Lepisosteus oculatus: one gene and its partners. The protein of the gene in region 2 purifies or fractionates together with the protein of the main gene of each other region. This does not show direct contact. Links are inferred from orthologs where the notes say so. Each region holds a gene or a part of one and is shown on either strand. Other genes may lie near its edges.

Region 1 (6,990 bases), on a different chromosome or scaffold from region 2:
GGCACACATAAGGAATGACTATTTTTGGAGTGATTGTTCCCTGGTGTTCCAAGACAGACCTAGAGACAGCTTGTAAACACACTGATTTGAAGTAGAACAAGGCCAAAAACAGTAATTACAGACCACCAGTATTGACTTTAATAGACAGCACTACACTCCCACAGAGGTCTGGTATAATCCTCTAGTATGAGGGTGTCTGGAGCTTCTGACTGCATCTAGATAAGATTGTGAGACGCTCGATGTCATAAATATCAGCCTATGCCTCCACTAAACACAGACTTTTAGCCACTTGGCAATCCAGACTCCCCAGATTTTTACATCTCAAACTTTCTGTGCGGAAAGACAAAAAGGTGTTCATTTACTCCGCCGTCCCGTATTGGGGGGGAAAAAAGCGAAGAATGACCAGATCACAGCAAATTCAGCATTGCATCCAGTGACAGTAAAGGCACATTTCATCCTTCAGCCATACTTCAAAATATTTGTCTGGGAAATCGATTGTGATTCGCCCACTTCTGACTGTTATCACCTGCTGAAAATAACTAGCAAAGCCTTTCTCATATAAAGCACAACATCCATTTCGCAACAGCTTTACAGATCAAAACCGTTAAAAACAGTTTGAGTGCCACCTTTAAAGAGAAAGGCGTTATCCTAAACTGTGAACTTTAGTCAAACATCTAGTGTTTCTGACAAGGCTTTCTGACATTGACAGTCATAACGGGACAGGTAAAAATGCCTCCCACTGGATATGCTCAGCTATTCAACAATTCTCCCAGGTGTTGGGGTAAGGCATAGAAACCACAATCCAGCACAATAATCGAGGAACACTTCGGCCATGATGGAAATCAGTCAAAATTCATCCGATTCTCTGACCTGAGTCACAAGCTGGCCATCTAAAAAAAAAGGAGACGTACCACACCGATCTACTAACAGCAAGCGTAACCTGTTTCACTTCTCATTAAGGTTCACCGCTGAGTGACTTCAAAATAAGAAGCAGGAAATATTCTCATACGGAGAAAAGGAAAGTGTGTGTGTGTGTTTTACATAACACCACACAGATACATGCATTGCCCTTTTGTGATTTACAGCACAACCCCACAACAGTTCGACCTGAAGTGGGGAAAAAAATCCAAATACCACCAAGAAGTTTATTGTTCATTTCGTGGTCGTGACGGCCCTGCGGGTTTCGGGATTAACATGGCCCCTTTCGGACCCGTCTGCTGGCCCTGTGGCATCGTCGCACATCTCCCTAAACCGGCAGCAAATAAAAATCACCGATCCTTATCGCCGAGCCCAGACCTCTGTCCGCAGGTCCATGTCAGCAGTGCCTGTCCAGTGCCGCCTGCTCAGCCTCAAAATTCAACGTTGTGATGAATCAGCACATACGGTACTTTCTGAGCCGATTTCGAAATCGAAAACAAGCCTTTAGTATTTTTATAGTTTTAAAAAATAATAATAATAATAAGATAACGGTCACACGGTGTGAGAAGACGACTTGAAACACGGGCTCCGACCTACACCGTTCTCTCAAATTCTCATCCACGGTGTAAGATTACAACAATTTCTTTGTTAGTGAAACGTTTGTTCTTGATCACCCCGATACAATGAAGCGATACACCTTTTACTGTAGCGAAGACATTTTTTTCCCCCCCTTAACTGAAGGAGCGCTTTCTGCTCGCAAGAATCACATTTTTCGAGACGGGCAGAACGAGTTGGCGCTGCGAGCCGACTCGTCTCGGCGGCCAGCGGCACCAGGCGACGCTACGGCAGCCGATGCTGAGCTCACCTTACCTTCCCAGAAAGCCGGCCAGCCTGACCTCTCTCTCCGCCTTACCACAGCGCCGTCGCCCCGGCTTTCGCCCGTTTTTCAGCACGGCCCCCGTTCTGATGAAACAGCAGGTTTGTCCAGCTCAGATGCATTACACATTTCTCGGCAACACGCTCCACGCCGCTGTCTGCCAGTGTGACTGACAGGGGCTCGGCGCCAGCTCTCGCCCAGCGAGGTCCCAGACCAAGGGGACTCCCCGGTAAAACCGAGATTTTACAACCACCTTATCCTTTTGTTAAAAACCCTGTGCCTGCACGGTTCTGACCGCACTCGCCGTGCATGCCTAATGACCCAATCGTGATGAATCAGCATGTCTGGCCCTTTAATGCACTCTCTCTCACACACACACACATCGACATGCACACACCACAGATCTACAGGCAAAGCAAAGGCGTGCACACTCAGCAAAATAACACATCTCTTTCAAATGTGCCGTCCGCGATCGAAGTAAACCCGCCATCGGACTCACCAAACTCAAGGGAGACCCTCTTCCCCACCGCCGGAGGTCTGATATCGGAGTATTTGGAAGTGAGGCGCCTCTATTTCTGGGTAATTTGTAAAATTTACTCCCTCGCCTTCTCCTTGTTGATCCCTTTCTCTTGTGCCGGAGCCAGACGTCATATGATGTTTGGTCACGTGGTTTCATTCATGAAGGATCTACGCAACTGGCAAAAAGGCTTAAAGGGACCGAGGCCACATATTTTCCAAAAAGCACATTCTTCCACACCTCCCGAAACTCGCTCTTTAAAGGGACAGCCGGCTCCCCAAACCCGTATCCCCCCTCCAAAAAAACAAAAACAAAAACAAAACAACGGACTAACTAGCAGCTGTGGCTTTCGAGACAAGCTGGTGTGTTTTGGCGAATTTGGAATCACCCTGCGCCGCTTTTTTTTTTACATATAGTAAGACAGGTCGAAAAAGCAAATATATATGTATAGGTGGGGTAGCCTCAAGAAAGTTTATCTTTTAAAAGTTACATTGTTCCCAGATTATAACTGACCGTTATCCTGATGTGCGTTACAAGACACTGCGCAGTACGTGCGATGTGGTGACTTTCCGGAGTAAAGCATTCCTCAGAGCAGTACGCAAGGGAAAGTCTGAAGAGAAATGCGCAGCAAATGGCAAAACAAAATATTTAACATTCCGCCAGTTTTAGCGGGGTACTAAACGCCGCTGGTGGGGGGGGGCTCTTCTCTCGCAAGTGTAACAGTGGGAAACGCAACAGAAGTGTGTCCAGCGAGCCAGTGGTTGGCCGGGGGCAGATGTGAACGCGGCTCTGCCGAACAGGGGGGCTCGAAACGGGACAGCCCACCTGCAAAGCATTTTCGAAGAGGACTGTCGGAACCTGAGCTCCTTTTTCGGCTCTGTGGTTTGATGGGATCTGCGCACCATAAGCAGAAACATTACAGCACTTCCCAGGAATGTCTTAAAGAGGCAAGCGCAGAACAATAGGCTGCCGTTCCGAGGCGCCGGGATCTCGGATCCCTGTTCGGGAATGCCGGCGCATGTTCTCGTCAGTCTATCAAAACAAATTGCCCTTTTTATCTTTCAATGGAGGCCGTGCATGTCCTACCCTTCCCACCTTTTTTTGTGTGTGTGTGATTTCTGGACCACTGTCAAGCGCAACAATTTGTTTTCTTAAAAAAAACATTTCACAATCATGTCTGTTATCACATGTGGTTTTCATTTTGCGGAGCTGCGCATACACTGGCAAATCACTTGCACAATGTACACGTAGGCAGGGCAGTTTAATGTTAAAGTCTGCGTGACCTCTCTGCTTTTAATAGGTTCGAGACACGTAAATCCGGGCAATCTAGAAAATTTATCGTAGGATATAATATCTGTCTTTAAAAAAGTGAACTACGACACACATTTCTCTTTGGGTCCACACACAAAGCGAAAGCAGATGACTTGTATAATATCCTCATTCTTCTCTTAACTAGTTTTGTTGGAGGGGGAGGGCGGCAGGAGTGGATGTAGGCTTCAATGCAATGACTTAAATTTAGGGATCATTTGGGGGACCGTTCGCCTTTACAATACAAAGCTGCAATTACATTTTATTCTCCCCAGACGCCGGGTTCAGTGAAACTCAATCTTCTTCCTCGCAACCACCGGTCCTACAAGCGCCTGACCCAATTCATTCAATCTGTACAAACTGCGACCATCACCCCCTACAAAGCACAGCCTCGTTGAGAACGAGAAAGCGCGTCTGAATCGATGCAGGCCTGTCGCTCAGTTCTGATTGTTAAAATCCGGCGTGTACTCCACAATACACTATGTGTCCAAACCTCACTGGAGTCAAGAACAGTAGTATTTTTTGCTGCCTTAACCAACTTTATCTTTTAAAACTAAGGGCGAGAGAAAATGGGGGAAATATTCACCCTCTTCACGTTTTCAATCTAAATGGCTAATGTGTTCCTTGTTCCTTTAATTTAAAGACATTTACACACTTCACCTGAAAAACTGCTTATTTACATGCTTGTATGCCTTATATTGATATTTCAAGAACTTGCTGACGGTGTGCATGCAAATGTTCTCTGTAGAATGACAAAAAGCAGATTAATGTTTAACATATGTTGAAACAGATTAATGTTAACACATTCAGTGTTTAATATGTCTTTAATAACGGTAACACCAGCCTCGTGTTAGAAATGTCAATTGTTTGGGGGTTTTTTTTTCGTGGAATGCTTTCCTGCAAAGGAGGCCCATTCTGCAGTTTTTTTTCTTAAAAACAGCTCAGACAATTTGAGTTTATATCGGAGTGACGGACTTCACCTACTGATCGTGTTAAGCTCCAAGATTCCTGGGTTCGTTCATTTAAGTCTTTAAGTTTACTTGGGTGCTTTACTGCAGCAGACTGAGTGCATTGCTCAAGGTTAACAAGAACAGTGTCTCTCCCCCCCCAGAACTGGAATCTACCACCAGTTGAAAACCTAGAGGCCCAACCACTACTCCAATCTGCCACAATCATATCACAAGAGCTGGCCAGTGTGCGATCCAAGCTGCTTGTCCAACGTGTTTAAAAACCGCTGCATGTCAATCCTGCGTTTTGATGAAATGGTGGCCCACTTACAGGAACAGTATACCCGAGTGCATTGACCACGACTGATTTTAATAGATCTGTATTGATCGCCCACTAATGTATTCCACGGCAGAGAGCATCAACCGGGAGCCCTCTGGAGTCCGCTCCGCCGTCCACGAAACCGTTACAGCACAGGAGACAGCAGGGGGAAGCGAAAGTGATGATTCACTGTCGCTGGAGGGAAATGGTTTTTACTGGTCGTAAAACCAAGCTAGACCTTCTTCCTCACACAGCCCAGCTGCATCTGCACGATAGTGGATCGAATGGGCTGCCTCTTCTCATTTATTATTTCTGCTAATTTAAATTTAGAGCTTCTGCAGCGTGGCCTTGCCGAAAGGTCAGGCGCTGTCTGCAGTGCGCTCCTGCCAGAACTCCAGCAAAAGTCTGATTAGACAAGTCCCCGGTCGGATTGGACACGATGTTGCCTTCTGCACTGACCAAAAATATTTCAACATTTTCATTGATAAATGTGAGGTTGCAAAAACCCAAATTCATTGCTAAATGTAATGTAATGGAGAACATGTTAACATGAGAGTTTCCGAGAAGTCTGTGCCAAAGCAAGAGCAAAATTGCTGTTAGTATCAAGTGTTGATTTGATCTCTAAGCTGGTTTTTTGAAACACATATTTCAACTGCGTAACTCACAGAGACATACCTAAAACAGTGTGTCAGTGAAGTATACAGAATCTCTGACTGTAAGCTTATTTTTTCTGTTCCTTGCACAAAGTAAAAGGTATGTTTTTTTCCACCAGATGTCAGACTTGGCCCATTTGAACATAATCAAGCCTGACAATGAACCTGGGGAGCTAAAATTGAAATTTCACGTTTCAAACACGAGTGACATTAGTGAAGATGTCTGGCGCTTGTGATTATTTCACATCATGTGTATTTTGAATGGTTTATATTTTAGATATCCAAACCATGTCAGAGCATTTCTACAACCTGTTGTGGCAATGAGTGAGATGTAAGCATACTGTACAATGTGCTCACATCTGGTTACATTTAGATACATGTAGGTCAGTTGCTCAGCTCACAATGGAATAAAGCATTGTCTTAACTTGCTGGAAGCAAAGACACAGCAACTGTATACTGTTAATGAGGAAAAAACTATTATGTATCTGTTCAAAATTCCAGGTCCCAAATACAACAAAGAGAGCATGCACTTTTAGCTATGTAAGATATCACAAAGTGGTAGATTCCTCCGATAATAGGTTCTAAAGCAACTGTGGAACACAGGCTGCACCAAATAAGCCACAAAACTAAGAAATAAGTGGATATTTAGATGTTTTTAAGGACAAAAACAAGAAACACTGAATAAACTCAGTAACTTCAGAATCACGCAACTACAGAAAAAAAAATTATGTTCTTTCTGCATTCGGATCATTTTTATTTCTCTTTTGTGGCATTTCAAAAAACCAACGTCCTTTATAAATAGTGTGAGGCAATATGTACTGGCACCCTCTAGTGGCTATCCTCCGTGGCAGTTCCTTTGAGAGATCATATCAAAGTTGCTGGCACTGCTCACACACGCCTCTTCTTCTTCTTCCTCCGAATCAAAGGAAGCTCACAAAAGCCTGGCAACATCGACAGGCATAATGAGAAGCAAATGAAAAGGTATTTCAGGCCGACTTATCTAGCTGGAGAGTGCTGCGAGGCAGTGGAGTATAACCTTTTGAATAAAAGAGGGATTACGCCAAGACTTCATTGCCTTGCTGTGACTGTAACAAAAATCCTCAAGCACAAACAAACGGAAAGCACTGAAGCCTACTTAAGAGTGTGACTTGTTAGGAAAGAAAATGAGCACAAATCCCAGAGCTTGTCAGCTTTTGATATTTACAGGGCACAGTGCCATTTTCAGGTAAAAACCTTTTCTTTTTACAGAAGTGTCTCATATCTCCCATTCTATTCCACTTCTCTTTATCTAGACATAAGTGATACTCAGAATTGTGAAGTGTGCTTGCTAGTGACGTGCAAGGGAGGCTTCACGTTTTATCTATGTGTGTGAACACATTTTTATTGACAAACAGGGAGATGAGAGGATACTATGTACAGCTGTGCACCCCCAAATAAATTGAAAAGAATTA
Region 2 (7,932 bases):
CTCTGCTCGTTAAGGCACAGAAGGACGTGCGAGCTGTGTATCGAGGACTGGTAACTGAAGGTCGACGTCCTTATGCTCTCGAAAGTCATTGTGCGGTACAACTGCAAGAAAATGCAAAACATTGTCGCAGTCAAACTTCAAAATTCTGTCTGAGTTGCACAATGTTGTAGTGAAAGGTTTTTTTGAAGTGCGGCTATCAAACGTTGGAGATTTCTACATGGGTGCACTACGCATTCAATTGGATTTGCTCTTTGTGGGTGCTAAAATGCAACAAGTATCTCAAAAGAAAATGCCAGGTCTTTCAAGGCTGTCCCCTGCACCCGGTTCATGGGTGTAGTGGAGGTATGGAGCTCATTTCAACTGCCAGCACCAAGCCTCTGGAGGTGTGTCTGTGACCCTAGGGTTCAATCACCTCCCTTACTCAAGGAATAATGCGGAAGCTGTCACTGCCCACTTCAGAAAAAATATAACTAATCTGAAAATGGATCAGGTGTTGTACCTTCCAAAAAAAGACCACAACTACAAGCAGTCACTGCAGTCAGTTTGGATGATTTAGTTCAGAGTTAAAGGATTTATGCCAGCTAGTGTGTTACACTGCTTGCTTTCAGAGGACTTGCCACTACTATAAAAAACTATTCAGCTTTGCCCAATTACAGCGTCACCTCCATGTACACAATACAACACAAAACCATAAAATACTTCCAGAGCCACACATCAGAGTGTAAATGTAAAATTCTACAGATCCAACTGCCTTCCCTTAATCTACACCAGACTTTGAGAAGCCAGTCTGTCTAGCTGTTCCTGAGGCAGACAGATCCTGTATCAGTCTGAGATGCAGTCATGACAGGCAGACCTCAAGACTTGCAACTAGAAAGGTTTTGTATTTCATCTCTGATACACATCTTTCTGTGGCTCAGTTTTGGTAGATTTGATTGTATTATACAGTGTGAAAGAAAACATCTGCACGTCTGTATTCCATCTTATCAAGGAGGTCAGTGTTGTTCTATGCGTGAAAGCAAATGTGTGAATTATGGGCATAGTGTTTTGGACTAGTGCCTCACGGCGCTGGGGCCCTGGATTCAGTTCCGGACCAGGGGTGCTATCTGAACAGTTTGTATGTTGTGTGGGTTTCCTCTGGATGATCTGGTTTCCTCCCATAGTCCGAAAAGATACTGGCAGGTTAACTGGCTTATGGGAATGAGTATACATGTCCTGTAATGGACTGGAGTCCCGGCTAGGGTGTGCATACTCCTTGTCAGGATAGGCTCCGTCTCCCCCTTGAACCTGAATTTGATGAAGTGGTAAAAAAAATGGGTGGATGTGTGAATTTTGATATTTCAAAAATAGATGAGAAAAAAAATATTTACAACTTTAAAACAACGTAAGACCTAGTATAAATCATTTAAAATAATATGCATATCTACTACTAAGCCAATGCGATTTAAAACCTAAAATAAGATCAACGCTTCATTAAATGAAGCAGGTTGCAGCTTGGCGCAACTACAGCTGAGCGATGTCAAGTCATGCAGTGTGGTTAAGCAACAGCGTGCTGACTCACTCGCTTCTGCTGATAAAGGATGAACAAGCATTTTCCTGCTTCTCCGTTCATTAGTTCCCGCAAACAACTTCGTTACCTAACCGAGGCAGCATTCGTTGATATATTATTACGAGACAATAGTAGTCTAGTCGCTGTAACTGCTAAGTGTATGATGAAGGTATCTGAAAAGGGTGATGTATTTTTCTTTTTTTGAGCATGTAAACAAATGTCGGAGACTGGTTTCCACTGTTAAAATATGCATCATGTCATCTGGTGAACGGTGCAGGTACTAAAATAATAATCTACACAGTGTCTAGAAAGGCTAGCCCTTCAGCCCCAAGCTTCGCGTTTTCGTATTTCATGGTAGCCTTTTTCTTGCAGCTCATGTATATTTCCTTGGATATTATTTTTTTAAGCGGTTTGAAAAAGAGGAAGAGAAACCTGCTCTGTTTGCTTTTATACAACCCGTATTTTATCTATGGTTTGCGTAACGTCTTTCCAGATATGTAATGCCACATCATATTCTCCAACTGAACTCGTGCGGAAGAAGATACTCTAAATCGTGACTTGTAAGAGAGAAACAAAGTATTTTTCCCCGCATCCCAACGCGAATCCCGGATTTGTTTAAACTGCTTGGCACACGACACCCTTCACCGTATATTTTCGGGTTTCTGTAATCCAGAAACGTTAGCTGAGGCGAATAGTTTAAGATGCCACGGTTAGCCATGCTGTATCAGTGTGTACACTCTGATCCCCCTCTCGATGATGAAACCCTGTTACACAAGAAAAGTGGGACGTGAAATAAACAGGAAGATAGTTATCCTGAGATGGCAGACTTTACTAACCACAGACCAAACAGACCACTACGATCGTCCACGTTTTTGTTTTGTTTAAATGATTTCTCGTAGATGTCCAGTTAGCACGAAACACACAGGTCATTTTGTAACGAATAGTAATGGCACCAGCTAAATATCACATGTGTTCCTACCGTAATAAGTCTCTACTACTATCATCCTCTTTGCCCGAGTAAGGAATTTCTTAACAACCATAAACTACCACTGCAGGAAAAGACACAAATTTAGCTTGTCACTCACGACAAAATCCAAATTAGCCTTACCAAATACACATCTTGGCGTGCACAGCTACAGATTTCACCGTGACATTTGCTGGGCCTACCGAAACTTTAAAGGCTGGGATTCTCCCAAATGCCCCCTCCCAGCCCGACAACTGCAAAGTTCCTCCGTACCACCACAACACATCGCAAGACACTCCGTGGCACCGAGCGCTTCGATCCCTGTTTACATTAACCCTGACATGCGAGAGAATGCCAAAAGAGTCTTACTAACCTGTCACATCTCCTCAGCAAGAATCGATTCGGACTTTTACCAAGGAGCCCCGTGCTGTGGCAGTAAACATCCTCCTACTACCTAGCCCCATTAGAACCCTGCCTGACTGCAAGCCCTTCGCTCGGGCTGCGATCATGTGACTTTAACCCAGGGCGTCCTCGTCCCGCCCTCTAACGTGCAGCTCTTTCCTGCTATTGGCCGAAATGGCTGCCAGCTTCGTGTATTTTTATAAACCCTCACTTCCGGTTTCAGGCACTGATAAGCTTCAACTGGGTGGCTTTGTGGGTTTACTTTCAGAGTCCTTTTTTTTTCTTTACATTTTCAGAGAAGGCTGGCACGATCAGTTTCCTATCAAGGGACGGTCGCAGAGCGACAGAAATCAAAAGTGCTTTGCACTGAGTGAGAACACGAAAAAATTAAAGTAATGCATGATAATAAAAATACTACCTAAACATGGACTCGGGGGTTTAAACACATCGTATTCAAAGCACCTTAGGAACAACCTCCGTACAGGTATTTCGGGTATTAAACGTGTGTCAGTAATTATAAACGTTTTTAAAAACGCTATAAACTAAAACCTTTCTGAGACTTGCAAGTTTTATAAAATTCAAAATCTTCTATTTCTAAATGTTCCTGGTCAAAACCATGTAGAAAGGTACTAGACTACAACCACACTGTTAAAACTTTTAGTTCTTTTTTGTCTTAAATGTTTATTCTTGATTATCACGTGTCCTCTAGTTTTGCTTCATTGTTGGTTCTTAGGAAGGCCATTGGGTTGATTAGGGCAGCAACCTCCGCTTAGAAATGTGAGAAACAATTTTAGAGTCAGAAGAATGAAGGGAAGGACGACGTTAGAAATGAATGAAAAGAGACGAATAATCCAGCATTTAAAAAATGTCTTGGAGGTAGGAGCAACTAAGAACAAGAGTTTTGTACTGAATGGGTGCAGATATAAGGAGCCAATTAATAGTCTGATTTGAAGATCCAGTTGTACATTAGGTGAGATTAAAAGTAACTTGACTGTGACAAATAAGTGTTATTAAGAATCTCTGGCTTCCAATAATTTGGCACATTCTAACTGAATTTGAAAGTTATAAATGGAGGCGGACGTTGACAGATGTGATATAATGTGGGTTTGAAAGAAAAAAAATGCTAATTTCACTCTACATTGACCTTAAAGTGTTCATTTGAATGTAACTTTGTCTTTTTGCTTTATGTGCATTAAATTTGTGTTTTGTGTTGAATTGTACCTACTCATTCTTCCAATAGTGTTTTATGCTCTAACATTTTGTGAACTATGACAGATTTTACTTATTTTTGATTATCTATCAGAAAAGTGACTTACAGTTGTTCACAATAAAATAAAAAATGAGATTTTTTTGTATACAAGGAGCGATTGTTTGAAAGGACCTGCTCAACCAGCTATCTATGAGATATATCGAGGTGTGTCCACGCAGAAATGTAAGTTATTTTTCTGTGAACATTTTGCTAGACATTTCAAGATAATTCTTATTATCTTGAACTTTAGGCAATACTGCTTTTGAGGTACTACAGATGTTAAAAGCAGCAGCATCTAGTGTTTTATCTGTTTTCTTGGTTCGCTTGGTTTTAAGATAGACTCTAAGAACTAATTTTGTCGCAGAAAACCATGCTTTGTGATTATGAGACTAAAGACAAGAGTGGTTATTAAGTTGATTGCCTTAGAAAAGCAAAACTGTAGAAGACATTCCTAGGAGATTCCTTTACAGTTTTGCTGCTTACACATTTGACTTCTGTTTTGAAAAAGCTGTAGTTCTGGGAGATGTGTATTTTTTTATTTGCTGGGACTGTTAATGTCCTAGGCTCTTGTCTTTAAACTAATGTGTTAAAAAGATCTTACAGAGATCTTGTGGTGTTGTCATGCATTCATTTTGTAACCATTTTATCCAGCACAGGGTTGTGGGGAAGTCAGAGCCTATTCCAGCAAGCAGTGGACACAAGGATACACCCTGGATGGGTTGCCTGGCTGTCAAAGAACACACACAGACACAAACATAGTCATACTCACATCATGGCCTATTTTCCCAAAAGGAAATTAGCCTACTAGTATGTCTTTGGACTGTAGGAGGAAACTGGAACTTGACGAAAACAGAAGAAAACACTGAGAGAAAATTCAAACTACACAGACAGCACCCCAGAAATTGAGCCCAAGTCCCCAGTGTTGTGAGGCAGCAATGCACAGTGCGCCACTGTGAGGTTCCCAGTATTTCATGTCCTGGTCAAATTTAATTTCATAGTTTGCGCAGGCAACAACATTAATTTCTGTATCTTTTTATACTTTTTTATTAACATTGGAAGCAGGATAGAGCAGTAGTTAGGGTTCTGGACTTTTAACTGGAGGTATGTGGGTACAAACTTCAGATGAGACGCTGCAGTAGTAACATTGAGCAAGGTACCTCCCCCATATTTGCTCTAAGAAAATATACAGTTATATAAATGGATACAAATGTAAGTTGTTTTGGATAAAATCATTAGCCAAGTTAAGCCTAAGTTAATAAATAGTAAAATAGCATTCCTCTTGCAGGATACATCTTGTGCTTTTATATTTGCGATGTGTGATTGTAATTTTTGATTGAACCTATATCCATATTTATCAAGCAGATGTTCTCCTTAAGGGGCAGTGCCCAAACTGAAGGTCACCGCCAATGCTGTCATCCATGCAGCTTCCTGGAGAAACCACGATCAGCTGATGGTTGTTTCGGAGTTATTGGCTGAATTGTGAAATAAATTTTCCCGGATTGTGTAAAAGTAAGTCGATGTTTTGGGCAAAAGTGTTACATTTTGTACAGTACATTACACATAACACAGTCACAGGGGTAAGGACAGAAACAGATCAACTGTTCATTTGTCTCTCAAATATCAGGAAGAATTATTAGTACAGAGGAAACAAAGCAAGTATGTTTCCTTTTCTGTGATTTTAAAAAAAGAATTCTTCAGTTCAATACACTAAGCTCCTCATTTCATAGTGTAACAATCATTGAAAGTATGAAATTGACAGCATTGTACTCTTCTGCTTGTATAAAGGATAATTAAAAAAACAACAACACAAGATTAAAAACAAGGCATTTGAACTTAAATAATCTCTAAATTAAAATTAATGTAAAAGTATATAGTGATATCAGGAATCCCTATTGAGTAATCATATGGTCCTTTGAGACCAGTAAGAAAAGGTTGAACAGGAGGTCTCATGGAACTTGAACTATCTGCAGTCCAACTACACCCCATTCATATAATAGGTTGGCTCTCAGCTGGTCTTAGTAATAGTGTGTGGTGTGTACACTCCATCCAGTAGCTTAGATAGTGAATGAATGGAGGCTTGTGTACAACTGAGTATATAAATATGTCATAACATTAAAACTGAGCAACGCTGAATAGTGTAAACATCACTAAAATAAACAGAAATGTTCATTTTAAGATGTTTGTGCAGAGCACCACAATTTATTTGTCTTAAAATGTCAGATGTTATCAACAACATAATTCCTTGAGGATACAGTAAGTGCACCTCAGCAAACTGATACCAAGACAGCCCTAAAGAGAAAGCTCTGCCAGGAGTCATAGGAATCAGTCAGTTGACCGTACATTTGGAATTAACATTGTAATGACTGTCAGAGAATAGGAACCCTGTCCTCAAGGACCTGAGTCTTGAAGATTGTACTTTTAGATAACGTTTAGCAAATGAAACCCAACGAAGCATCAGTTCACTGGTGATCTTACAAGTAGGTTGACTGTCTGATCCTATCCAAATAGTGAGCTCACTTAAATCAATTAAGTCATTACATTGAGATTTTAAAATGAATACCAGACCCTGCCATTTTCTACCAGCTGTTGTGGATATTTTATGATTTTATTTAGGTTAAACCCGACTGGCACATTTGTTATTGCTGCCTCGCAGGCTTGCGGCGCTGGGACCCTGGGTTCAATTCTAGACCTTGGGTACTATCTGGGTGGAGTATGCATGTTCTCCCCATGTTTGTGTAGGTTTCCTCCCAGTGATCTGGTTTCCTCCCAAAGTCCAAAAACATACTGGATTTTGATTTTTAAGAACTTTTATTTCCTTTCACAAATAGATACAGAATAACACAAAGAAGAAACTTGACAATATTAAATAGCTAAAACAGTATATATGCACACGTTCAGAGAAGATTACAAAGCCAAAAGAAAAGTATATTTGCTCAGGTAAATTAGATCGTATATCATACATCATCTTCTGAAGAACATTTGCTGGTGTTTTTTTAATGAGAAATTACATTTTTCCTTGCATGCTTCTTCTTTTCATTATTACAGAGTTTTGAGATGCAATCCTACTTCCTCTATTTTACACAGATTTTCTGTTTCCTCCTTCCTCTCAGAAGTAATAGTTATCTTTAATAATGGATAGCGCCAGACTACCCACTCCTTTGATTGGAACTTCGATGCCTTTTGACACCCCCATATTCCTCACTTCCCAGGGGGTGTCTTTTTCACTGTTTACTATAGCCCAAAACCTGTCAAAGATGTTGGGGGGTAGTTTGACAGGAGAGATGCCAAGCATGATGAAAGCAGAGGTAAGGAAAAGCTAGGCAAAAAGGCCTATAAACTGGGCCCAGAAAGCCTTAGCAACATAGAAAACCACAAGAGAGTGGTCAAAGTCTCTTCCTCACAACAGGCCATTCCAACACAGTGAGGGCTGGGAGCTGGTGGTACAAGAAGGTTTGTGCGCTCCAGTCTAAGTTTTTGTGAATGTCACACTAAAATGCAGTGGATGTGTGTTTCCACACTTTTCTTGTTTGGGCTTCTGTTAAAATGTCCACAGTGCTCAATCTATATTTATGAGGCATGTCCAGATCCTCCAGTTGTTGGAAGCTGACCTCTCTGAGGGGAATGTGACCAATTGAATAAGATCTAAAAAAGTTTCTTAACATCCCATAAAGTACTGGCATGTGTCAGAGAACAGGACATCCAGCTTGGGTCTGAACACCTCCCTACTTACCTAAAGCAAAATAAGTCCAGATACCCAGATCAGGTGCTGTC
Region 3 (7,552 bases), on a different chromosome or scaffold from region 2:
CTGTTTACTGGTAAGAGCAAAAGGCAGGGGCATGAAATCACACCCATGCAGCTGACATTTCCTGAAAAATCCAGTTTTGTTACCGGACGGAAGTAAAAGTCCAGGAATCTGCGAGACTGGTCCACTGGAACTCCAAGACGGAGAGAGGTAGAAAAAAAAAAGTCTCACTGCAGGTCTGTTTTCCAAGTGAACATGCAGGAATTTAAAGGAATGCGATGTACCCATGAGGAAAACATTCCAGATTTTACAATGAGACAAACATGGAATGCACTGTTGAGAAAGTGCACACGGGCCACCTAGCTCTCCATAGAAATACCACTTGCTCTTTTATTCTTAACCACATGTTGCCCAATCGCAATGACAAATCCTGCTTTACACTCTGACCACAAGTGGTAAAGCAACTGGTCTCAAATCCAGTAAATCAATGGCTCAGGAGGGAAATTCACAATGCAAATATAGATGTCTACACACGCCACTGTGAGCAATTACGAGATAATATAGAATACTGGGTAGGGCATGTTGCAACGTGACACTGTCAACAAAACCAAACGTTATTTTTACATGCAAAACACAAGGACAGATCGTAAATAAAAAAAGTAAGCACAAATTGTGAATACATTTAATGATAGTTTGTGTTATGTATTTCAACAGGGTGGTTATTTTTTTATTTAAGAACAAATTTAGGATTTTTCTCAGATAGTTATTTCTCAATAGATTCACGGGCAGATGGTTACAGAAAAGTTGTTAATCCTACACAATACTAGACTACACACCACAGCAGCATTCCCGTGGAATTCCAATAAAATATCTATGTACCAGTACACAATTAGACAAATTTAGTTTTAAAAATGTGAATGCTGAGAAGTAATTACATTGGCTTTCTTGAGCTACAATACGACATCACAGAACTGTAAAACCTGAAGTTATAAATGGACTGGATGAACACAATAACAGCTACACCAGTAGGAAGTTATCATGAAAATTACAGCTATTCTGTCTTCAATATTTTGTGCTTTTTGTTTCCATCTAGCGCTTAACAACTGTCCTTTCCGAATCACTATGAGTTTTTCAATCCCCGTCAAACCACAAGACTGCTACATATGCTTATTACGAGTTTCTCTGTTAACCAAAGCTGTGCTTTCACCTCACACTGGAGTTTCATTATGACCTGTATAAAAGTGTAATCTCTTCTTAATTCACACTTTTGTCTTGGGACCTGCATACGTATATATACTTCCTGAAGCTGATCTCTAAAAAGTCTGTTTGGCCCTGAATTTTCTATTTAAGGGGCATTAAAATACTGTGTTTAATGGAGCTTGAAATGGAAAAAACTGTGGTTTAATGTCAGTTTCTTGTGAGAAACATTAAGGAAATATACAGTAAACACAACAGACCCACAGGCAGATAGTTATAGAAAAGGTTCATCTTGTTCTTTCTACACAATATTAGACTACTACACAACATAACAGTATTCCTGTGGAATTCCGAAGTGGTTAGAAGTCAATGCATTTTCAGCAGGAGGGTATCCCAGCCGATATACCTCAGGTGATGACTTCAACACCCACGTTAGGGGAGTTGTCAAACGGCTTCGCTGTATGAAAAAAAAACCTGGCCAAGGGCCAGATTTGAAATAAAATTCAAAACGGTTACCCTAGGAAAAGAGTTTAGATAATACCCACGCGGCTCCTTCGATAGGAGCTTTATTGCTTGCAGTTTTGAAACGGACTGAGTTCCAAGCTGTAATTTGAAATCATACTAGCCTGCCCGGTCTTGGGAAGCACAATCCACACCATTGTCTCTGAGAGACACCAATGGAACACTCTGTGTCCTGACTGGTGCTCATGTAAGTGGCCAGAGAAATGGAGATCAGAGAAGAAGTGGTGTAAAACTTTCTGCTGATGCTTTCAAGTAGCAGTTTGCTTGAAGGTAGCTCTCTAGACAAATGCTCTGGCATACTTGCAAATCATGCACAACTGTAACTTAAAACAATGTGCTTTAGCAAAATAGATGGAGCTTGCATAAATGTATTTAAAAGTTGTTTTTTTCTTTGGGAAACTGTGGTCACGTGCCAAATGTTTGCTGTACAACTACTAAGGACTGCAAAGGCCATTTAACAAGATGACTTCAAGCCAGAGATATTGTACGCAACCTTAACTTGAAAATACTCCTCAGTCATTTTTCCATCGCAAAAACACTCCGTCATAAAATGATTTGAGCATCTAAACAAAATTAACTTTGCCAAAAGATGTTTTGATTTGTGCCCGCTGAATTTCAACATTGATGCTGAAAATCCAAGGCTTTGTTTCTTCCAGCACTCTCTTTTAAAACCACTTCCATCTTCCCACTCCGAGAGATACAAGACTGGCAGAAAGATACTCCTCCTGCCTGGATTCCAGTTCATATAGAATTCCATCCAATTAAACAAGGGGTTAATAATCAGAGCGCCCTCTGCGTTTAAGAACAGATGTGTCTGTATTCCAAATGGTATTTTAAAGATATCTGACTGGTCATTTATAATGTATCCAAGAAACAGAGACTGATGCTACCGAGCCACATTTCAGTCCTGGCCACAGCCAACATTAATTCTATATGTACTTTTTTTTTTACAGCTTACAACATAGCCATAATTGAGTCTCTAATGGATCCAGAGACATGATGTTACACATGAACCTCCCCTGGGTGGAGACTGCTCTTCGGCAGTTCTCAGATTAAGAGATTATACAATCAATTATTTAAGTATATTTTTAAATAACACTAGCCCTTTTCTTGATGAATGATGGCATGGATCATTAGTACACAATTAAATGAGCAGAGGGTCCCAACCTGACTCCTTTTGATCCATCTTGAATAGGAGGAGGACCTGGCCACCTTCAGGCCATCTTTGTCAGGCTTGTAGATGTTGCTTCTTTGCCTGGAAATGAACAGTCTGTTCCATTTTCCTCCTCCATAATCACTCAAGATTTCGTCATACTACCCTCACAGACAGCAGTTCCCCTAAATCGATCATTAACAAGGCTCAGAGCCATATCTCATTTTCTAACCCTACCCTTTACTGCACAGTATGCAAGTGCCAGGCAGAGGAATCAAGACGGGTTATCACAGGAGCTCATCGATGACCGCCCCACAAACAAACCAGACTGGACTACGTTACGTAGAGGTATTCCGATCTCTCTCACCAAACAAGTTGAATTCACCAACTGCTGTCTGTGTCCGATTCTTATTTATTCCCTATTTGTAGGATCAGAAGGACTGCAAAATCCCAGGACCGCTCACCTAAACACAGCCTTGTCAGCAGAAAGGGCCAATTCACATTCTTGTAGGCAGGATAAGGTCAAATTAAAATTAATTCCAAAATGCACCAGAAACTGGCACATCTTCTTTCAAAGGTGTGCGCACAGTTCCGATGGCTCCCAAGCTCCCGCTAACGTTAATCTGATCTTGACTATCCTGCTGAGCCTTCCTTGCTCGTTAGATCTTTCTGCCGACGGCACCAAAGAGCTCAACCTCGGCACCTATCCTTAATTACTAACAGGTTAAGGGTATGAGGTGATGTATTTTTAGAGAACGTGGCGTCTTTACTTTTTTTTAAGGAATAACCAAAGTCAGATCTGTTATCTGCCAAAGTGGAAGTGATTCACAATAACCAGTTATGACTCACCTTTCCTAAACAGCAGGGTGTAACCCCTCGCACTGGTATAGAGAAGCTCAGTACTGGACTGCATAGCAAGAACAGCCTATTCTTGGGCGCACATGCGTGGGATTCCCCATTAGCAAGCAGAACGGCCACGGGCATGGTCGTCTTCGAAATACTCATGTGAAAGACTGATTTTTAAATGTCTTTACTTCCAGGGCAGGTGAAGATATTTTAATGGTTTTATTATTTGCGCTTTCAGCTTCAGAGGAAGCTTTGATTATCCAGTAAACCCCCCTCAAACTGCAATACTCCCGAAGCTACAGACCCTTCTCACACTGAACACTGCTCCAGGTACTGTGGTCTGCGGTAACTCTGGGTGTTATTCGCCTTGTCCCCGCTATCGGCAAAGTAGGATCGGCATTTAAGTATTAAATCTCTAAAGAAAATGGGGGGAAATTACAGAGTAGCTTCGTTTTACGATATAACCATAAACAAAATAGTTGCAAGGTGACGTTGGAAATTTTACAAAGAATTTAAAGCTCTGTTATTTCATATACACGACGCCCATCTCAAGGTTATCAAATCTTCGCGTGGCTGGAGTCGCTCCAATATGTGGCTGATCCGACAGGTTCCTTTGCTGAACGCTGTCTCCCCCAGGAATGGCACGATCTGGGCTTGAACCTGAAGTTGTCGGGCTTTCAAATTCAGACACCGCACACGCTCAGTCTGCGTCGTCCCATCATCTCTGTAGGGGGGTGGGGGACGTCTTTAAAAATGACCAGCAACAGGTCTGAAATCATTTTCATTCGTTAATAAAAAAAAAAAGCTCATATTCGGATTCGTATAAAAACGCGTTTACTCATCTGTCGCCAAGGTGAAACTACTTCGATTCTACACTGTGAAGCTTAATGTGTCTGACAGCTCCGTCCGTGAAGCATCCAAGTGCGTCGGAATGATCTGTGATCGGGGCGTTTCAAAGTTACAGCACATGCATCATCGTTATCATCTTCATCGGTGACCGGGCTGAGAAGGGAGGCTAGCTGTCAGGAAAATGACTGGGAGATCGGAACAAATTATGAACTGAACGGCAAAAGATTAATCACTGAGCTGCGTTTCTTTTTCTGGGACCGTAGGCTCATGCGTAACAGAACAAGCCAGAAAACGCGCAGCGAGCTCCGGGCGCGGATCCTCTCCAGTAGAGCCCCCGTCCACTCGCTCTTGTCCCACACTTAGTTCACGGGGGAGAAAATCCTGCACTCGAACCCACGCACCCCCCCCCAGCCGAATCCGTAACCGGACCCACGGCGCGCGCCGCCCTGCCCTTTGTGCCAGCAGCCGCTCCGCACGGGCGCACGTGCTCTTCTCTCGCGACCGCACGGGCATCGGTCTCGCAACACCTTCACAGCCCACTAGTATCTCCGACCGTGTGGGCTATATTATAATCTGGTGTTCCAGTAGACTGCAAACCCCCATGCGTATTATTAGCTATTATTTAAAAATACTTTTGGAGCTAAATACAGTCAGTAGGCTATTTATAAAGTATAGAATATCAGATTGTTTCAAACAGCAGATATACTCACTTGCAACATTTAGCTTTAGGAATTAATACTGAACTCGCCTTGTTGCTAACACGTGTTCAAACTCACTGGTGAGTCACCACTAGAGTATGAAATGTTATCCCAATCTTTAAGAAATACACACACATTTCGTTACTTCACCCAGCGTTTGCTACCGAAAGGATGCTTAATTGGGAAGATTCGGTCCCGTTTTGCCGAAGACGCACCAGGACCCCTCATCGGCTCTCCGCCGGAGCGCAAGTCCGTCACCATGTAAACAGAAGCGACTTAAAGAGGAATTTCAAAACATGTCGCCCCCCCCCCTCCCGTCCCCTCACCTTGTGAGCGCGGACCGTGTGTGTCGGGATCGCGCAGGGACGCCTCGCGGTGTCCGCGGACGAGCTGGGGTTGGTTCCACCGGGACAGACCTGCCAGCGCTCGGCCCGAGCCGTCTCAGAACTCCCGATCGGCTACAAAACAACAACAATGTATCAACATTCCACTCGCTGCTTCCGCAAGCGCTTACGTCACCGATTCCTCGTGACCGCCCCCTCCATTCATGAAAATAACTTTGCACTGACGTCATCCAGGCGGGAAACTAGTGGAAGCCAGAAATAGCCCGGAGCGCTAAAGATGCAGTTACAGAATTACTTCAGAGTATTTGCTGTTATGCAAAATGTAGAGCCCCTGTTATTTGCTGATTTTCTTTCTGTAGCGCACCAGTGAGCCAAGAAAATATGGTGCGGTTTAATTCCACGTGTTGTTTTGGAGACGTTTGAAATGGATCAGCAACTGTTAACCATTTATAAACGATGTTATATTTGATTTTCGTGCTTGAACAGATTGACCGTTTAAACTCATCACATCCATTTAAGATATGAAATGGGGGAAAACAAGCGAAGCCGTTTTAGGAAGTGACTTAATTGAACTGGATTGCTGTGTCAGTGACTCACGGTGATCCAGTAAATTGTGCTGAAGAGGACTGGCTTGCTCAAAAGGGCAAAGACGAGAGAAATGAATCCTGAAATAATGGAACAAGGTAAAAATAGATATGCCACCAAATGAAGCTTGTTTTGTGAGCTTATTTTGCCAATACTGTGCCCTGCTTTTCTTTAACATTTCCTTTCCCTCAGGTCCCTGATATCTCCCCATTTCATCAGTGTTTGTCAAGTTAGAAGTGGCCAGTGCAGACCACTGATTGGGCCAGACTTGTGTCCTGTTTTGCCCTTAGTTCTGTGTTTTAACGGAGTCTAGTCTTAGAGTCTGTATAGTCGCCAGGACCTTGTCTGTAGAGCACCAGTCACCAGCAGGTGAGGAACACAGCAGTGACAGAAGAAACATGCCTCGCATTTAGGGAACTTCAAGAAATTAATTTACTTTGTTTACAATTTAGGTATTCTAAATAACATTCTTGGCGCTGTAAATTATAGGGTGCTGGAGTTACTCCATGGGAATGAACACCCACATGTCAAAGGCAGCGTGTCTCAATAATTAATATATCTATCATTATATATCTTACAAATAAAAAAAAAGCCAGAAATAGACAGGAGCACTGAAGATGCAGTTTCAGAATATTTGCCCTTATGCAAAATGTCGAACCCCTTGATCCATAAAGGACATTTTATCATGTCGAATTGAATAATAAAGTGAATTAATTTGATCAACTATTAGCAGCAAACAAACCAGAACAGGCAGATGTGAGAAGGTCATAGGTCAGAAGGTTCTAAGAAGCCTTAAAGAAGAATAGTGGAGAGGAGACTGAAGTCTGTTGGAAGTTGCTAGAATTTGTCAATTTCTAGTTTTGCAACTTTGCGGATGTTTACTTATTCTACAAAAAAGTCTCCATCATTCCGCAACCGTTCTGCTGCCCTCAATGTCTTTCATTGTCCGGACCCACAGCAGCCCGGGGCATGGGGTGGCAGGAGTGTGAGCCTGTGGCTGGCATAGCTTTGATGCAATCTGCTATAGCTCCGTACTCCATATGTTGTTGGATAAAACACTCATTTCGTAAGTCTACGATTACCAACAAACAGTACATTGCCCCTAAACCTCAAGCCCCAGATCTTTGTGACTGTCAAAAGAGGGTGGGTAAAAGGTCAATGCCCAAACTCTATTTTGCAGTTAATGGGCTTTTAACAGCTTTCAACCCTTCTTATATCTGTTTATGTAAAACAAGTTTACATCCACTTTAAAGGGAAGAATATTGGGATGTCACAATCGCGAAACCTCTGTTCACCAGCTGACAGGCAGTTGTGCTTTTTACAAACACTGTCTAACAAACCTGAAGAGGGTTTCTGATAACCTCCACCGACTGTAGCCCTTATAAACCCTGCGGGGTGTCTAGGAGTACATTGATTTTTTT
Region 4 (7,685 bases), on a different chromosome or scaffold from region 2:
CCTTCTGTGCATCAATATAGCCTCCATGCCTCAACTTGCTTACAGAGCTGGAGTACAATTTAGTCAAATATAAAATACCAAATACCAATACTTAAAATATTTTACACAAACCTGAAACTTCCCTCTGTCTTCTTTTATATTCTGAAAATGTTTAGATGTGAATCTCGGCACAGACAAATCACATTGAAAGGCAGACTTCCATCTAGTCTTCTAGTTGTGACATTTTTAATTTACTAGTAAAGCACCTGCAAGTAGTGTCCTGTCCATAGTATGTGTAGACTAAACATATTTGCAAGTGGGAAAAAAAAAATCGCTATCATTTCTGGGGAGTGTTCAGCATGTTGGAACATTTTACTCTTAGCAAATAACTTCTACAGGAATTTCCAGTCTACTAGTGTTAATATTTTATACCCTTCTGGAAATTTGTTCACTTACTGTACATTCCAGAGAAAAGAGGGAAAAGAATGCATAATCGACAATAGACAGCAAAAGACAACTCCTACAAATTCCAAATGTGAAAGTGCTGCAATTTCTGACTTGTCCTAAAATAATAGTGAAATACAAATCATCCATGTATGAACGACGGCCTTGACTATAACTGCCTAAGACACTGTGGGCTTTTCATGTTACAGTGCCCTGGGCTGGTAATTGACAATCCAGGTGTCCAGAGTGATGGGAACACATTCTGTCTGATAAGCAATTGTGATTCATATGGCAGTGAACATGAGGCATGGCACAAATATGTTCAAACATGTCTATACTCCCTTCCTGTCATTTTTTTAGTCCCACTTTTTATAAACCCTTGCATTTACATCTTAAAACGTTATACAAAGAGTGTGAGCAATGAAAGTCCTTTAAATATGTCACTCACCTACCGCATGGTTGTTTTGTGCACACAACTTAATAGCACTGAAACTTTTTAGGAATATTTTTTCCACAAATTTTAACAACGAGAATCGAATAGAATGAATAAAAGGTGGGAAAAAATAGGAATGCTGGTGTATCAGTACAAATAAAGCTTCTCAAGAGTTTGTTGCTGGCAATTTACCAATACTTCAGCACAGAAGTGTAGAAACTGGGGTTTTTTTTCAAGCTGGCTCCCAAATAGCTATATCATCTAAGCAGAACACGTGTGGTTTTTACCTATGGAGACATCTGAAAGATCATGTATTGACTGGTATATAGGATTGTTAAAATCGTATAATCATGTTCCATGGTTATAAGAATGGTAAAAAGCACACTGTCTAGGTTTCTGGACAACAACTCCACTGGTAATACCATATTCCTTAAAAATACAATCAAAAGCAAAAAAGGTCAAATCAAAATAATCAGAACGTGTTGACAATCATTGTTGTGCCTGATTCCGCGGGATTATTCTACAGGGAACGCTGGGTGTCATCAGTACAAATTTCAATGTCCCGCTGTCTGTTCTTAAAATCAATGACTTTAAATGCGCTTTATTGACCCATGCTGTTAAGGCCTCTTCTCCCATCACCATAATCGAGATGCTTGTAACCCGGCACTAATTGAAGTACAGGCCAACTCTTAAGCACATCACCTGCGTGATTTATGAAAAATATATCGCGACGATAATGTAGTATTATCACTTCAAACAACGCACAGATAAAATTGCTGCGGCTCATCAAGTGAGAAAGGATTTAAATTTTCCACTGCTCATGCGTCTTAACGAGATTTGTTCCTCCAGTGACTACAGGTATTCTGTGAGCTGTAACAGAATATTTAACGTACATTTCTAGGTGAGTGCTAGGGTGTGGGTTATCCTCCTTGACCTCCGCTGTTATATCGATCCGGATAGTATACAGCAAGGTCAAAAATGACATTTTACAATGCAATATTTGTAAATTGTAAGCGAAGTTCAAAACCGGTTACAGTATTATTTGTGGGGGTGTCGCGTATCTGTATACTTTAGACTGCACGTCTGTTGTGCATGAGGTCACATTCGTGCGAAACTTTTAATTCACATTTACTGTTGCGCCTTGCCCTGGCCCATAAACTCAAAATAGCATTTTCGACCGACCACAACCGGCCGCGATCACAGAAGACGCCGTCTTGACTTCTCACTCCTTTAAAATCTTCCACGCTCCTTTGGTAAACGTTTTACTGCAGATAGAAACCGGAACTAACGCTGACAGTGTCATAGCGACCACGACTGAGATTAGTAACAGTACCACTTAAGCCAATGTGGGTGTTAAATTGTTACCTCTTTTGCGCTTCTTATCATTCGCCTAGCAGCCTCCTTGCAACTATAGATGCATTCACCATAGCTGGGCTGAAAGTGAGCTACAGCCCGAGTGACTCCTCGGAATGAGCCGGCGGTGAAGGCCGGCCAGCCTATTTCCAAGAGCGGCGGCTCTACGTCCGAGACCTCGGGAAAGTAGGTGACAGAGGAGCAGTCCATCGAGCTGCTCACGGACTGCTCCATGCCCGCATCCTCTCCGCTCAGAGAGACGTTTTTAGGGTGCACAGCCGAGTCCATAATCAGTCTGATTTCATCGCTGGAAAGGAAATTGGGTATCTTCTCTTTCTTTAAAAATTCCACATAGGACTCTTTGCCCCCAGAGATCAGCTCTTCCAAAGCCAGTCTGTGCGCTTCGCTGTACAATTCCTGGGGACTCAGGTTATTCCTGCACCGGGTCGGGCCCGGGATGGGAAAATCGTCGAGGCACTGAGACAATGCCATGCTAACTCTGAACCCTACGCTCAGCACAGTATCGCGCGTTACCAGTTTTCTGAGATCATGACTTTTTTTTTTATCTGGCATTTTAAACTCGAACAAACCCAGCCCACGGCAGCCGGCATTGGCTGAGCGAAAGCCGCAAAACCGGTTCCACCAACTTTACACAGGCACATAAGACTGCCTCCCGCCGGGAATGGGTGATGATCATTGGCTCACGGTTTGAATTTGTAGGCAAACAACATCGGCCGAAGAATACTGCAAAGGAGTATCATTGCCGGTTACCTGTCGAGACAAGGCGACCTTCTGTTTAATGTTTAATTTTTAACATTAAATAGAGCCTGAGGCAGCGCTGCCTACAAACTATTCTATCTGTAAATCTCCTTCCTTGTTCCGGTATCTTGTGTTTCTCGCTGCATAATTTGTTACCATTTAAATGATTTGTGTTTTTAAATTTGTGTATAAATAGCAGTATATTTTTATTTGGGTATAGCTAGTGAAATGACGTTCACCAAGTCACTTACAAAACATCCTAAGAAAACCTATATAAAAGTACTATCAGAATGGAGTTTTCCTGATATACAAAAAGCTGCTAAACAGCTTTTTATCCAGCAGAGAAATTGCTTTGAGCAAAGTATGCTGTCGAATTAGGTTTGTGTATGAACAGATATGAACAATTATTACCTAAATTAATAATAGTATTTCAGAAAATGCGTTGTACTATTAAGCAGCGTTTTGTCAACAGAAGAACTGTTTAATTTAAGGAAAATTGAAGATTCCCTCAAGCAGTTCGGCTGCGGCAGTCACTGATGCGTCTAAAAAAACGGGTTTGGTTTGCATAATTAAATGTTTCAGTTTCTTAAAAATCAAATGCTTCTTCAATACAGTTGTCGGTATGCATGCAGATCCAAATTTTTCATTTATAAAGACAAACCTTAACCCACTAAAAATATCTCTTGAAAATAAATTCTAAATGAGTGAAGTTTCAAGAGGCACTGAAGGACAAAACAAAACATGTCAGAATTTAGACACTTGGAAAAGAGGTCAATTTACTCATCGATGATTAGAAGCATGAATAAAACCTGCTGGATGGTGGCTCTGCAGGATCGTGCATGACTATCAGTGGTCTACGGCTTTAAAATGCATGGACTTGTTTACATCTCAGTCTCCAGGACCAGAAGCCCTCCACCAGCATAGAACAACACCAGCATTAACTGAGGACACGGACAAGCAAATTTCTTAACACGACAATGATTTCAGATGAACAGTAGGTACCATGTATAAAAGCTAAATACAGCTCTAAGAAAAATATTCATCAATGTTCATCAACTTTTCTGCATTTCCACACAAAGATAACATTGATATCATAAAACCAACGTGATGTCCACAAATATTTGGCAGCCGGACAAAATACTGCAATTATTTCTTACTTATGTGATATGAACAAGAGTAGTAGTGTCAGCTTAAACAAGAAATAAAGTTCGTTTTTTTTTCTGCCTCAGAAATGGGGAAATCCAAACCTAGGAAGCACATTTGCAATTAAAAAAAAAGCCTACTCCATTTTACAGGATCCTGACTTTTAATAACTCTACATTGATCTACAAATTCCAACATTTATTTTTCTAAAATTTATGGAATGACAACACTGGACAAGAGAACAAGTACCAACTGGAGAAACAGTGCACATATCCCCCAATGCCTGCAGGTGTCACTAATGCCAAGGGGACCTTGGCTGACTCAACCCCACTCAGTCCTTTCCATGTCCTGGCAATTGTGCTGATGGGGACATGATCCAAGCTTCAACTTGCAATGCTAGGGCCTCCGGGCTCAACCAGCAGTCTATAGGGGCACCTTTACTGACTAAGACTCTTGGAAGCCCCTTACATTTGTATCTGAGTGTTTGAAACAACAACACATGGTTTAACACAATTCCAAAGGGGATTATTTCAACCTTAAAAAAACATTTTACACCTGAATCTCCCCAACTAGAGTGATCCTGCCTCCAGTATATATTGTGTAATAAAGTGTCTGCTTCTATGCCCACATTAACCAAACGGTTTAGAATAGCATCAGAATACCTTTGGTCAAGTTCTGCAAATTAAACAACAAAATAACAATATACAAACAAATCAGTTTAATACATTTTCTTTTGTTAAGATGAAAATTGTACAGATATTTTACAGACTCGTTTAAATTAAAATCTATGGACATCCGATTTGATCAAGGAGCTACTTGAGGAAAGCATTATATAAAACAACTACAACTGTGTTTGATACAATGCTATTTGTTTATATAAAAAAATTAATCCATGGCTTTTTGGAAAATGTTCAGGATGTAAAGTGTTAGCTTAAAAAACCTGCTGCACAATCTCAGCCTGTGAAGGCCATTGTCAAATACTCATAATCCACTCCCTCCTGAATGATCATGTGTTATATTGGTAAAAAAACACCTTGGACTTCAAAGTTCTTATTACGTTTCACATGAACTAAGATGTTCCATCTTGTCTTTCCGCAAAAGAGATTCGTGTTTCTTCAATCATAGTGTATAGCTGTGTAGAATATGATCCAAACAACCTGCAATATGAATGGGAAAGAATTACCTAATCACCTTTTCACCATACATTTATGTATAAGTTCAGTACTTGTTTTGCTCGTTTAATTATGGAGAAAGCATATTCCTGCAGAATTAACCAGCCTGTATTCATGCAAACTGGAAGCATCTTACTGCAACACTGCGACTCAGCTATATACAGATCTAAGTAAATAATGTATTATTTGAACATTAAATGATTAAATAATAAAAAAAACAAATCAAATCAGTCTCATACCAGCACATGAAACAGCCACAATATATAATTTCAGTAGGATACCATTAAAAATAATTGCATGTCTGTAGCTATTCCTGACTCGATTATATCAATTTATATGCACAGTTTAACATAGTGGCTTAACATTCGTGACCCATTCAGTTACCCCTTCCATAATTTATTATTTTATACGCTCTGTCAAGCGACAGTGTTGCACGGTGTTAAGAATTTTGTAATATGATTCAAAACATCTGGACACGGATGATTCTGGACTTGTAATTTCCTTGACCAGTACTCCAGCTCAGCAGGGTTTGGGGTTGCACTTTCAGGTGCTGGTGCTGGTGTCCCATATCTGCTCCAGGCCCTTTTTAATTCAATGTAAGCTTAATTATTTTAAATTGGCCAGTTAGGTTTTACCTTGATATCGTTAATAATAACTATTAACACTTTTTTTAAAAGACTATCAGTTTAGTATATCCAGCTATGCAGATTTGTCATAAAAAACAAGACATTGATGGATATTACTGATGTGTTCTGTCACTCACATTACATAAACGTTTAATGAACTAAGCTATCCAGGTCCGGATAATTCAATCTGTAGGTCTGCATTAAGGAGAGGAGATATACACCAGTGCCTAATTGTGCATTTCAACAGAATAACCCTCTTGGAATTATAACATTTTTGCTCCTTCAATTTTGAAACACAGGATATCAGAGTTTTAAATACCAGGAAGAGTGCGAACGAGGTCATGAAGCCCTCTTTAGTTAGTTCCCATGTTCCTCCATACTCTTCTTCGTCAATCTGTTGAAAGCTGCTGAAGTAGATATAAAGGAGTCCAGCATTGATGATGCAGAATCTGAGAACACAACAATAAGCACAAATGTAACTGATATGGATGAATACACCTTTTATTTGCCCTTCCAAAAACAATGCCCTGAACATAAGCAGCCACTACATGTAAAGGAATTCCTTCGAAGCCACGTGTTTAACTTTACATTGTTGTTGTTGCTTGACTTTTTCAGGACTGGTTTGTAAAACAGTTTGCATTTTTAAAAGGGAGACAAATGCACTATATGCAGAGCTGATACAGGTAAGGAAAGAACAGAAAGGTGTGAATGAGAAACTAGGTACAGACCAGGTTGCAAAGTTGTGACTCACATTGCGATACCCAAAAATCCTTTTAGAGGTGCAATTCCCCAAATGACCCCTAAAATCACTGCAATGATCTGCCGAAACCAGTAAATCACATCTAAAAATTCATCCTGCAAAAAAGGAAGGGAAAAAAAGATTAATTTTCAGTAAAATAAGTGGTTTGCATGCTCTTCAACAGATAAAGGTATCGCACACATGAACACTTTGAACTCAAACACGTACACTACAGGGATGGTTAACCTAGGAAAGGGAACAAACTGTCATCCCAGGAAACAATCATCTTGGGATGATTCCAAAACAGGCCAAATGTGTTCTTAAGAAAATATGATTTTAGAACATGTTTCAATTTTGAAATAATAACGGGATAGTGCAAAGCCAAGTATAAATATATTCCTGCTTCTGAAAACAGATCACCTCACCACCAAGGAAAGGTACGACTTAGAGTAAAAATGAAAGAAACGTCATTAAATGAACCATGTAGCTTATTGTGCCAAATGATATCGTCCATCGTTAACGACAGATTGGGAACTGTTTCACATGATTGATTGTGTTGGTAACAAGGCGACCATATTAGGGCTCACGATATGGGAACACTGACTACTTTACTGGAGGTGTCACTATCCTACTCTGTAAAAAATGATGCCGTCTTACTTTCTGATAATACGCTTACGTATCTGCAAATATTTAAACAATTTTCTTCTAAATGCGTGTTTTACACGTTACAGAAATTACTACAGGAAAAAAAGAGCTATGGAAAACCACGGTCCTGCTCTTATTTGAAGATCAACTCCAGTCGGACGTGGGCACGACTGACACCAGTCAACCCTAACCCTTTCAGATCCTGAGCCACTGAAAACATTTGAAAACTAAAAGTTATCCGAAGCACCGCACCACAGAAACCTACGCACCACCGATCCCCAATAAACCAAACCTTTTCCTCCCACACGGCGTTGCTCTTGAAAGCTTTACTCCATGCAGACTGCTTTATCCCCCCATTGGCGAGATGAACTTCTTCTTTCCTTCTTGCACTG

The links.
Region 1: the proteins of bach1b (region 2) and mafgb purify together in Homo sapiens (affinity purification with mass spectrometry; 5 studies listed by BioGRID and IntAct, counting the BioPlex papers as one, with this or other methods). This does not show direct contact. The link is inferred for Lepisosteus oculatus from reciprocal best matches to the Homo sapiens genes BACH1 and MAFG.
Region 3: the proteins of bach1b (region 2) and mafk purify together in Homo sapiens (affinity purification with mass spectrometry; 6 studies listed by BioGRID and IntAct, counting the BioPlex papers as one, with this or other methods). This does not show direct contact. The link is inferred for Lepisosteus oculatus from reciprocal best matches to the Homo sapiens genes BACH1 and MAFK.
Region 4: the proteins of bach1b (region 2) and fam83d purify together in Homo sapiens (co-immunoprecipitation; 3 studies listed by BioGRID and IntAct, counting the BioPlex papers as one, with this or other methods). This does not show direct contact. The link is inferred for Lepisosteus oculatus from reciprocal best matches to the Homo sapiens genes BACH1 and FAM83D.

Annotation. Positions count from the first base shown.
Region 1 is NC_090704.1:40,951,737-40,958,726, forward strand, and holds the start of mafgb (v-maf avian musculoaponeurotic fibrosarcoma oncogene homolog Gb), read right to left. Parts: upstream 3,010-6,990; 5' UTR 2,472-3,009; coding exon 2,295-2,471; intron 1,882-2,294; exon of another isoform or gene 1,784-1,881; intron 1-1,783. UniProt on the Homo sapiens protein: Since they lack a putative transactivation domain, the small Mafs behave as transcriptional repressors when they dimerize among themselves.
Region 2 is NC_090700.1:19,450,445-19,458,376, reverse strand, and holds the start of bach1b (transcription regulator protein BACH1b), read right to left. Parts: upstream 3,012-7,932; 5' UTR 2,884-3,011; intron 102-2,883; 5' UTR 90-101; coding exon 1-89. UniProt on the Homo sapiens protein: Transcriptional regulator that acts as a repressor or activator, depending on the context. Binds to NF-E2 DNA binding sites. Plays important roles in coordinating transcription activation and repression by MAFK.
Region 3 is NC_090714.1:1,285,872-1,293,423, reverse strand, and holds the start of mafk (transcription factor MafK), read right to left. Parts: upstream 3,001-7,552; 5' UTR 2,843-3,000; coding exon 2,824-2,842; intron 1-2,823. UniProt on the Homo sapiens protein: Since they lack a putative transactivation domain, the small Mafs behave as transcriptional repressors when they dimerize among themselves.
Region 4 is NC_090711.1:6,762,324-6,770,008, forward strand, and holds the start of fam83d (protein FAM83D), read right to left. Parts: upstream 3,017-7,685; 5' UTR 2,783-3,016; coding exon 2,222-2,782; intron 1-2,221. Other genes in the region: rab5if (GEL complex subunit OPTI), read right to left, coding at 5,227-5,268, 6,229-6,358, 6,661-6,764, 7,586-7,685.